Rattus norvegicus: one gene and its partners. The protein of the gene in region 1 purifies or fractionates together with the protein of each later gene. This does not show direct contact. Links are inferred from orthologs where the notes say so. Each region holds a gene or a part of one and is shown in the gene's direction. Other genes may lie near its edges. The genes, in order: Fbxw7, Med13 and Fmr1.

Region 1 (3,647 bases):
CTCTGCAGTGCTTCTCTGTATTTTAAAGAATGCGATGTAGTAACACCCATGGGATATGTACGTTTTTCTTATAGGTGCTGAAAGGGCATGATGATCATGTGATTACGTGCCTACAGTTTTGTGGTAACCGCATAGTTAGTGGTTCTGATGACAACACTTTAAAAGTTTGGTCAGCGGTCACGGGTAAGGTAAGTTCACGTCTTTCCATACCTCAGGGAGTCACCATTTTGTGTGTGTAGTCACAGTAAAGGGGGTGTTTTGGTCCCAACTATTTTAATCACGAATATCAGGCCTCCTTTAGAAACACTTACCTTCTCCTTATGTTCGTGAATACTTTTTTGGCATGCTGGCAGCAGTAGCATTTTCTCCACTTAAATAGTTTGCCGTCTTTGTCACTTAGTCTAAGGTATCTCAGGTGCACACCCTCATTTCTTTACCTGAGAACCTTTCACCTTGGCCGTGTGAATCAGAATCACTACTTCCTAAGGCCTTCCAAAACATGACAGAGATTTGTAATTTTCCTTATAAACTGCTTTGTTACTAAGCTATCTGTAATTTAGAAACGGAGTAAATCCTGTAAGAGTTGTCTCGACATTAGTGGTACGGAAATGAAGCAGGGCGGCCGTGCCTCATGTACTGCATACGGCTCCTTAACGAGTCTCTAGTGAACATTGACCATTTGAAACATAGCAGAGGAAAGTATGGAAAAGCTTGTTTTTTTAAAATATGTTTTGCTGTGGTGTTCCTCGGACAAGACTTTTACAAATACTCAGATGTTAAAGTTTTAAAAGCAGCTCCACGTTTCCATAGTATAATATTAGTTTGGGGTTTATCTGGGAGTTTCAGTGTCTGTCTTTGCTTGTCTAGAAGGAGCCTAGGCCGCCCTAACTACTGCCCTGAGGAGATGGGTGAGCTGTGGTATGTGGCCACACCCGACTCTCCCCCATTCCTGCCCTGGTCCTCCTCAGTGGGACTCCCTGCTGCAGCCTGGGTGGTTTTAACCCTGCTGACCGGCTGGGGCTGTGGAGCTTACTTGCTTCATTACTTTGCTTTCTGACGCCTTAGGCTTTGTATCATGCGATCTCTTTAAACTTTTTTTACGTCATTTTATTTTGTGTATAACTGTTTACTTGTATGTCTGTCTGTGCACCACATGCATGCCAGGTGCCCTCTGAGACCAGAAGAGGGGGTCAGATGCCTGGGCACTAGAGTTACACGTGGTTGTGAGGCACCGTGTGGGTGCTGGGAATCAAATCAGGTCCCTGAAAGAGCAGCCAGTACTCTAAACCACGGAGCCATCTCTCCAGCCCTTCATGTGAATCTTAGGTTTTATCACATGTTTCTTTCTCCATACTTGTTCCTCAGTTGTGTATCCCTGTAGCATTTTCAGCTACCAAATAAGCAAACAGTAGTGATGGCGCCATGTAGCATTGGTATGCAAAAATGCTTTCCTAGCGCTCTCATGAAGTTGAATAAGTAAAATTTATTCCAGATTTTTAATGAGATGTTAATATAGCCTTTAATTTGCTTGCATTTCTACCTAAAATTAATCATCTGGGGTGTTTTTCCAGTGTCTGAGGACGTTAGTGGGACACACCGGTGGAGTGTGGTCTTCACAGATGAGAGACAATATCATCATTAGTGGATCTACTGACCGGACTCTCAAAGTGTGGAATGCAGAGACTGGAGAGTGTATACATACGTTATATGGGCACACCTCCACTGTACGGTGTATGCATCTCCATGAAAAAAGGTAAAGGCCACGCCCTAGCGACTGGGGCTCACATTACTGTTACTTGTGGATTTGGGATTAAGGGAGTGCTAATGAGCTCCTCCAGTGGCCACTAAGGACAGGGTGCAGGTGGTCCTAAACCAAGAAAGTTAGGTTATGCTGGCTTAAAAGTGGAGGGCTGTCTTTAAATTTTCTTCTTCATTTGACGTATGGCTGTTTTTCTTCAAACTCTGCTCTCTAATCTGTTTTGATGTTTTGATGATTCATCATCTTTAAACAAAAATCATTTTCTTTCTTGATTTTCATATTTATGCTGTGCAAGAACAACAGATTTAGTCACTGGGACTTGTAGCCTGAGTCCTTGAGTGCCACACCCACGTTGTCCCCAGTCCATCGCATCCCTGCTGTAGACATGCTGAGGTCCAGGGGCCTTATCTTACTCTCAGTACTGGTCATCTGAGCTGTGGAGAGCCTCAGGTGTGGGGTCCTCTGGCCTTCTGCACGCTGACAGAGAGCCCTCATTTTAGGCTGGCATTGCTGCCCTACTTCTGCCCACCAAATGAAGGAGAACTTTCAGTCCCATTTCCAAGTGGTTTCAGCCAAGCCTGGCCTCTTTGCCCTTTCCCACCCAGTCTCTGCCTGGGGCTTTGTATCTCAGGCTTCTGCTAACCTCAGGTCCTTCTGTTGACCCATCTTCATTGCGCCCAGCTAAGAGGCTGTGTTTTCTACTTCATTTGTCAGAAAGCATGCTTTTGGCTGCTCATCTTTGCACGGAGAAGGTAGAGACAGGAGGGTCCTTGCGTTCACAGCTCTGAAAGCATGTATCTTAGAAGGGTCCTTACGTGGACTCCACGCACGCATGACCACAGCTCTGTCCATCCTGCCTTGTATCAAGACCCATCGCTGTAAATAGGCTCCCTACAGCTGTGCTGTACACGGGGCTCCTTTTCACTCCTAAATTTGAGCCTGTTTTGCACAGTGTGTTCTTTGCACAGTGATTACAGTTTAGGGATGGGTTTCAAAGGACATAACATTTCCATTTTTGTTGTGTTCGTTATCTCACACTTCTGAACTCCACTCTTTAAAATGGAGAGTGGCTCTTATGTCTAGGGAATGACGTAAAGGTGCCTGGTTGGGAATCTGGAGGTACCTGCATGACTGTCTCACTCTGCTTTTCAGAAGAGGATAGTGTTTGTGGCACTGCGACAGTTTCTTAGGCACTGCTGTTACTGCTGTAGGAACATCTTTAACAATCTGTGAGTCACCAGCTGTGAGCATGCGTCTGAAACTGACTTCCCTTAATGTGGAGCATAAGGAAACAGCCATGGCTTTCTGAGTCCCAAAGTCACTTTAAAACTCTTCCTTTGTCTAAAGATAATTTGTGCTGAGATTTTTCTTCACTCGAATAGGTAGTAGGAACCTGCAGTGTAATGTAATGACAGAGGTCATAGAGAGGGAACGTTCTGGATTGTTATGAGTTCATACCCCTGGAGGTGCATGGCGGATCCTGCATGTGCCCCGTTACCTGCTGCCCAGGATCCTGCTGCCCAGGATCTTGCTGTATGTGTGGACAGGTGCTTGTTTCTTGCAGTACAGTGCTCCCTAAACTGGACCATGGAGCCTTGAGGTGGAACCAAGGCCCATAAGCCAGTGACCAGTTGAGCTTCAAGTCTTCCTCACTTCTCATTCCAGGCAGAGTACCTGGAATTTGCATTTAAAGGCATTAGCGTTTCTTGGGAAAGGATTTCTGTTTAAGAAAAAAGGAGAAAGCAGCGGTTTCCTCTGCCCTGTGCATTCATTGTCTAACTTTCGTTCTGTTCCTCTCTGCAGGGTTGTGAGCGGTTCTCGAGATGCCACTCTCAGGGTTTGGGATATTGAGACCGGCCAGTGTTTACACGTCTTGATGGGCCATGTG
Region 2 (3,747 bases), on another chromosome or scaffold:
CCAGAGGCCTTATGGAATAAATGAGAGTGCATTGGAATTTCTTTCTTTTTCTTTTCTTTCCTTTCTTTCTTTTGCCAACTTTCTCTTCCAAAGAATTCGAACTGATTTCCAAGTAATTCTGGGTTTTGAAGTGAACCTTCCTGTGCTGCACATTCCCCAGCCAGCAGAAAGCTAGGGCCAAGGCTTGGGTCATCTTAACCGGGGCATCCAGCAGATGGCGCCATCTCAGTAGCCACCAGCTGGCCGCCGGGTCCCCGGGGCTCCGAAAGCTTCCCTGCCCTCCCTCACCGCCTTCTCTCTCCCCCCCTCCCTACGGAGCCCGGCCCACGTGACCTCACGGCGGCCAATGGGCGAGCAGAGAGGGCGAGCTGGTCCCTGTGGCCGCCATTAAAGCGAAGGGAAAACCCGTGAATTCGGATTAAAGGGGGAAAAACACCGCCCGCTGGGCCCACAAAATGGGGGAGACTACGGCGTCCAGGCGGTGAGGCGGCAGGAGAGCAGACGTTAGGCAGGCTTGGCCCAGGGACAACACGAGGACAGAGCCGGAGAATGGACTGAGCCCGCAGACACCGCCACCACCTCCGCCGCTGAGGAGACTCTGGGCTTAAGGACATCGCCGCTGCCGGGCCGGGGGCCCGGGCTGCTCTGCCGGTCCTCGCCCTTCCCGCCCCTCCGCGGGCGTCCCCGGGCCGCGGAGAACCCTCCCGGGCGTCAGGGCTCGGCCTGCTCCCACTCCGGCTCTGACTATTTATCGTGTCCCTGATTGTTATTTTTTTTTGTTTTTCGTTTTTTCTTTTTTAAATCTTTTTTTTTTTTTCTGGTGGAAGGGACAGACATCCCTTCCCCTCCTCTCCAGAGAGGGACGCGCGTCCGCGGGCTCCGCAGTCCCGGCGGCCGGCCGAGCGCGGCGCGGCCCTCCCGCCTGCGGCCTCGGCCCCGGGCGGCTGGGTGCCTCCGGGCGGCGGGGGCCGCGGCGGCGCCGGGGGGCGGCGGGGAGGGCGGGCGGCCCGGCGGCCTCCTCCCCACCGCCCCCCGCCCTCCCCGGTGTCTGTGTTTCTCTCTCTGGTCGGAGGCGGCGGTAATGGCGGATGGTGGGTTGTGGCGCCGGCGGCGGCTGCTGTGAGGGACGATGAGTTCCTCCTTCGTGTCGAACGGGGCCAGCCTGGAAGATTGTCACTGTAACCTCTTCTGCCTGGTGAGTGCGGGGGCCGCGGGCGATGGGGGAGGGGGCCGCGCCGTGCGCCCTTGGGCCGTGGGGGAGGGGGTCCGGGTCGCATCCAGATGCCGGTGTCCCCGGGCTAGGCCCCGCCGCCGGAGTCGGCCTTCTCCGAGGCTCTGCGGCCGCCCCCGGGAGACAGCGTCCGCTCACCCACCGGCCAGGGCTCTGCTAGGAAGAGTCTTGCCTTTTTTTTTTTTTTTTTCTTTAAAGTCTTTCCCCTCCTCCTGTCTTGTTTTGGAGTCTTTTTCTCCATCGTAGTCTTGTCCTTAACTTGGGTTCTTATCTGGCCGGATAGTAATATTTTCTTATGTGCTTCTTGCTTGCCCCCCCTCCACCCCCCGCCCCTTGTATGGAACAGCGTATCCCTTTTCCACACTTTCCAGGATTGCCCCTGCCTGCTTCACTGCCTTTACGCCCTTCCCTTGTAAGTGGGCTTCTCTTAAACAGGACCCCCCAAAACTTATGTATTAAAACCCTCTTCGTTTTATAAGTTAAACTAACACAGGGGTAGTTTCCTTATGGGTGACTTCAGATCTTTGTGTAAAAACAGTGTTTGCCAGTTCATATGTTTTCTTTTTAAACTTTGAAAACATTTTGCCATTTTGACAATTTCTAGCCATCTTGCTTTTATTAGAACATTATGTTTTTGTGAGAGTGGAGGGGCTAGTGGAGGAGGTACTGTGGTTTCGCACTAAACGTTCTATATTTGTCAGTTTTGCTTACGTTTTAAGAATGTTTTGAGCTGGCTGTTCCTTTTATTGAACTGAAAAGTGTGGGGAAGCTGGAATTAGGGATGTTCTAGTATGTATATGTAGGTCGGCCCAAATCGGATAACACCCAATAGTTAAGACTTTTTGTCAAAAGTACCAACTGTTGCAAATATCTAGTCCTGAATTAAACGATATCCGAGCTTCGTGAATGACTTTAAGTTGGAGTGACTTTTTCATTTTTCTTGTGCTGTGGGAAATATTAAGTCTATCATAGGTAAGTGAATTAAGTGGGTGGAGCATAACTAGTTGGCAAGCGTAAACTGCCAGTCATGTATCAGCAGTTTCATTTTTGGCACCGTATGCTTTCTGTCACCAAGTTAGAGTAAAGAATTATGAATTTCCTTTGTTGAATCTCTTTCACGATATGGTAAATGGGGATCTTTAACGTACTTCTGCCTTACAGATTAGACTGGTTTTCTCGACAGTGTCCATTAATCAGCATCTCATCACATGTAGTAAGATGTACAGCAGGTTTAACGTTTCTGTCTTCCCCAACTGGATCTATTTTTGGCACTTCGGTTTTTTTGAAGATAGATTAGCACAAATCTGACAGCTCCTTGGAAGTAGTTCTTTTCCTGAAGATGTGTGCTCGTGGGGAATTAGCAGGCTTTTTTTTTCTTTTCAGAAAAACATTCAGAGTCTTTTCATTAGAGCCATGACGTCTTACGACGTTGCAATGAGGGCCTTTACTTTTCAGTTCACCAGGGAGCGACTGTGACTGACGGCTAGAGAGGAATGTAGGCTAGAGACGACAGACAGGCTTACCATCATTGTTTCCTTGGTCGGCTTCCGATATGCTGTGTTTATTACAGACTGGCTACTCACGGGCATCTTTGATATTTTATTTAACAGTTTTGTATTCTTTTCCTTCAGTTCTTGTTGGTTGAAACATTAAAATTGGCCATGGTGTTTTGTTTGTTTGTTTGTTTGTTTGTTTTTTTAATTTTGTCAACTTTCAGTTCTTAAGCATGAATTGAAAATAGTGATTTTAATGAATCAAAGACTTTATAGTGAATATATATTTATATATAAATATGTAGTAACATAATATATTATATTTAATAATCGATATTGTTTATTTGAGTGAATATACAATAATATAGATATTATGCTTTCTTTTCCTTCAGGCCGACCTGACAGGAATTAAGTGGAAAAGATATGTATGGCAAGGCCCAACTTCTGCCCCTATTCTGTTTCCGGTGACAGAAGAAGACCCCATTTTGAGCAGTTTTAGTCGATGCCTTAAGGCAGATGTACTCGGTGTTTGGCGGCGAGATCAAAGACCTGGAAGAAGAGAATTGTGGATATTTTGGTGGGGTAAAGATCCCAATTTTGCTGACCTTATTCACCATGACTTATCAGGTGAAAGCAATTTATCCTTTTTCAATGTGCCTTAGCAACGTTGTATACTTTCCCCAATGTGCATATGCTGTGGTGGGCTGTCTTGTCAGTGGGAAGCTATAAGAGCAGTTGCCATGCTCTGTTTAACCATCCTTGTTTTAGTTTCCTCAAGTTAGCCATGTAGATTACAGCCCAGCTCCCTTCTGTAGTTTCTCACAGACAGTTTGTATCTAGGGAAAGCATTTTCATTAACCTGAGAAAAATGGAATCTGGAAGCATGGTGTTTTTCATAGTTATATAATAGTTTTGAAGTCAAGTGTAACTCACCTTTGAGTCTATTTTGCTATGTTCTTTTTGTCTAACCCTGTGGGCGGGTCTAGAAATGTAACTTTGGCATATATTTTCAAAAGTATAGTT
Region 3 (3,747 bases), on another chromosome or scaffold:
AAAGAGCTGCATGGAGTGGACACAATGATGTGCATAGACAGGTTCCATGACTGCTTTCCTGATGCCCTCTCTCTGGTATAGGGTGCACATAGAAGAGGCAAAAGCCAACTGTAAGGAAATTAACAACTGTTTAACACATTCATTGTCTCTCCCTCTTTCAGTGAGCTCTCTTTATTACGAAATCCAAGTAAAAGTATGAAAGGAAAGTGTGCGGGACAGCATTGTCTGAGAAAGGGCTAACATTTCCTGAAGGTCTGGCACACTCCATTGGCCCTTAAAAAGTACTCAAAAGTTCCCACAATGCTTCCCCAAATCGCTAGGTAGTATAGCGATTTATTTTGCACTCTGGCCATAAAAGTCCCAGAAGTCAGGGTCAGTGTAGTTATAACTGTTCCTACATCAAAGTGTTCTCCAATCGAAGTTATCACTTTAACTTCCCCTCCCGCCGCGACTTCCAGTTCAATCAGGTCCCACGCCAGCGCAGTGAAAAATGTACCCAAAGCCCCTCCACTTCTGGTTGGGCCCCATTTTCAAAAACTGGAGGCCTTTTCCCACGTCCTCGCTTCCTCCTGTACAAAAAAGGCCTCTAGTCCCCACGGCTGGCCATAGGCAGCACGACCTGTTACTACCCTTTGCGCTTTCCCGCCGTTCACCCAGCGCGCGCGCCAAAGTATCTGCCCAGTTACCCCAAGGCAGGTACCCACGACGGCGCATGCGCGTGCTCAGCTGCCCAAGAGAGAGGGCGGAGCGAAGGGGGCGGAGCCCATGGGGGAGGGGCCGCCAGGGTCACGTGGTGTCGTTTGACTGTTTACAGGAGGCGCGGCAGAGCCCTCGGCCTCAGTCAGTCTTGCGCTGGGGAGCGTTTCGGTTTCACTTCCGGTGAGGGGCCGCGCCTGAGAGGGCGGGCAGTGAAGCCAACGGACGGCGAGCGCGGGCGGTGTCAGTGACGGCGGCGCCGCTGCCGGGGGGCGTGCGGTAACGCGGCGGCGGCGGCGACGGCTGGGCCTCGAGCGCCTGCAGCCCACCTCTCGGAGGCGGGCTCCCGGCGCGAGGAAGGACGAGAAGATGGAGGAGCTGGTGGTGGAAGTGCGGGGCTCCAATGGCGCTTTCTACAAGGTAACGGGCTACCGGACAGGCCGGGTCCTCGGCCTCCCTCCCTCCCTTGTGTCCCGGGCGGCGGGCGGGCCCCTCGGGCGCGGCGGGAGCGGCGGGCGGTAGGTCGTGAGGGAGCGGCGGACTCAGGGCCTAGAGCCCGCCTCAGCGCTCTGACTCCCGCCTGAGGCCCCGGCGCCCGGCGGAACGCGAAAGGAGCGCGGGAGCTGAGGGTGGTTGAGCGGCCGAGTTCAGTCAGGGAAGCGGGAATGCGAGGACAGTAGATCTGGCCATAGGGCCGGTGCCGCGTGAAGTGGCGGCAGCGGCTTAGTCCTGCTTTCCCAAATAATCCTCTCCTAGTGGGTTCGGGGCCTGACACGCGGGGAGCCGTGAGGGAACCGGGGGCGCCTCAGCCCCGCCGCCTCCTGCCCTGCCGGACGGCGGTTCGGAGTCTTGGGCTCCGGGTTGTCGGCCCACAGTCCAGACTTTGGAGAGCTCCCCTGTTCTGGGCGAGCGGAGTGGAGCGAGTTCTAAGAAGCCCTTGGCAGTCCGGAATCACAATGGCAACTGCTCTTTAGTGGCCTCTTTGTGAATTTCGAAGGAGGGTTTTAGACCTAAAAGTTTCTGAAAGACCATGACATCTGAGAGAGCCATTTAAAACGCTAGCCAAAGCTGATATCCATGGCCTCCTACCCTCTGTAACTGGGGGAAATTCAGGGATAAACATGTCGCGACTTCTAAAAATATTACCAAGTCTGCTTATTTTAAATTTTCCTTTGTGTTTAAGTTCTCAAGGACCCGAATTTGTGCCACAGAACTTCAGGAAATTAACGGGGACTGTCTGATTGCTACTGAATTTTTACCAGGACGGTTTGGAATGTTTGTTTTGTGCTCTGAAGTGCATAAACTTGAGTATATTCGCTTTGACTTTTGCGGTGTTGCAGTGGGCTATGTTCTTGAGGTTTTAAATAAGCATTCATGGAACTACTGAGGGGTTTTTTTTATACCATTGAATATCAGATAACGTATATTTTTTTAAAGGAACCTTAAAATACATGTAATGTGGTATGATTCCTGATACTGCATAGATGTAGATCTAGCAATATTATAAAGTCTCTTTTTTTAATGTTTACAAGCTCTGTAAGGCCCCACCTCAGTAGAATATTTTAGTAACAGAAGCTGCACGTGGAAGGAAGCATGGAAAATAGCTTTTGCCATTGTCCAACCGTTTTAAGTTTATTGTAGAAGAACTTGAGCATTTCAAATGGGACGTACTAGGCTAAGCTCAGGAAAGTGACTTTTGTAAATTATGCTTTTATCAAGTCTATGGAGACATTTAGTAGAAGATAAATTATGCTTTTATCAAGTCTATGGAGACATTTAGTGGAAGATAAATTTCATGAATGAGGGAAATTTGTAAAATACTAATTTATACTAAAAATACCCTTTTGTTGTAGCATGGGAGACAGAAAGAATGCAGCATTTTTGTTGCTAATTCTATCAGTGCAGTTTTTTCAATTTGCTGTAATAAAAAAATGTTCCAGTTAGTTTTGGTTATTTTGCATTAGAAGGTTTCTAGTTTTGGTTATTTTGCATTAGAAGGTTTCTAGTTTCTAGAATGACAGTTTTAATTGCTAGAGTTGGGGCACTGAGACACAGATGAGCAAGGGATAATAGTTAAGTAGTATTTTTGTTCATCTCTAATACCAGCTTAGATTTGAGTCCACTGTTAGTTGCTTTTAATGAAGTTGGCTTGCCATTGAGGGCAAGTAGTGCATCCTACTCTTGAAGGATTTATTGGCCCCAGTAATTTTGCTTGCAAACTGACTGGAATATTTTTTAAAAAGTGCACTGTTTCCACTATTAATCCCCTTGCTTTTTTCTTGGCTTTGTTTTTCAACAACTTCTTAATTTGAAGATGAACGAAAATGAATAGACTTTGAATTATCCTTTGATTCCCTGAGGGGACATGTAGTACTCTTTTAAAGTGTGTGTTGAAGAATTGCTATTGTGTTTAAGTTTATTTTTGTTTTTTGGTTTTTTTTTAAGTTTCAACTGGTCTATATTAAAGGAAGGGTACTGGCTATACTGAAAGAAGTTTAAATTTTACATCACTTAGAATATTGACTGTGAACAGGAGAAAATAAAGTGGAAGCATGCTGAGTCCTTTTCTGGTGAGATTGATGACAAAGATGAGAAGTAAAGACCATTATGGAAACACTGGGAACCCTGTTCATTAAATTGGTAGAAGTAAAAATTTAAAGCGAAGTAAGTCAAATTCAGTATAATTGAATTCAGCTTTTGATTTGCTTACTAGAACTACTGTATTGTAAAGGGTAGTTGTACATTCCCTGAGCACATTAAGTTTGCAGAATAACTATATAGAACACATATTAGGAATGATTTGATTCTTTCTCTAAAACATCAATAAATTGAAGATTTCAGATTCACAAATCATGCTTCTGGCATGGTAAGAGCCAACCAGTTCTGATTTGGATTTTTTCTTTTATTGTTTAATTTTTAAAACTATTAGATTTGTGACTACTTTTTTTAATTTTTAAAAATTTTTATTCTTTAATTCTTTTTGGACAGTTAGACTTTATTGACCTCCCTGTCTTCTCCACCCCCAAAGCCCCACACTGTTCCCCATCCCAT

Evidence for each region.
Region 2: the proteins of Fbxw7 (region 1) and Med13 purify together in Homo sapiens (affinity purification with mass spectrometry; 5 studies listed by BioGRID and IntAct, with this or other methods). This does not show direct contact. The link is inferred for Rattus norvegicus from reciprocal best matches to the Homo sapiens genes FBXW7 and MED13.
Region 3: the proteins of Fbxw7 (region 1) and Fmr1 purify together in Homo sapiens (affinity purification with mass spectrometry, with the first as the bait; 3 studies listed by BioGRID). This does not show direct contact. The link is inferred for Rattus norvegicus from reciprocal best matches to the Homo sapiens genes FBXW7 and FMR1.

The regions. Positions count from the first base shown.
Region 1 is NC_086020.1:172,601,094-172,604,740, forward strand, and holds part of Fbxw7 (F-box/WD repeat-containing protein 7), read left to right. Parts: intron 1-74; coding exon 75-188; intron 189-1,571; coding exon 1,572-1,753; intron 1,754-3,562; coding exon 3,563-3,647. UniProt on the Homo sapiens protein: Substrate recognition component of a SCF (SKP1-CUL1-F-box protein) E3 ubiquitin-protein ligase complex which mediates the ubiquitination and subsequent proteasomal degradation of target proteins.
Region 2 is NC_086028.1:71,671,213-71,674,959, reverse strand, and holds the start of Med13 (mediator of RNA polymerase II transcription subunit 13), read left to right. Parts: upstream 1-1,058; 5' UTR 1,059-1,129; coding exon 1,130-1,195; intron 1,196-1,319; exon of another isoform or gene 1,320-2,203; intron 2,204-3,116; coding exon 3,117-3,351; intron 3,352-3,747. UniProt on the Homo sapiens protein: Component of the Mediator complex, a coactivator involved in the regulated transcription of nearly all RNA polymerase II-dependent genes.
Region 3 is NC_086039.1:152,284,046-152,287,792, forward strand, and holds the start of Fmr1 (fragile X messenger ribonucleoprotein 1), read left to right. Parts: upstream 1-884; 5' UTR 885-1,065; coding exon 1,066-1,116; intron 1,117-1,879; exon of another isoform or gene 1,880-3,360; intron 3,361-3,747.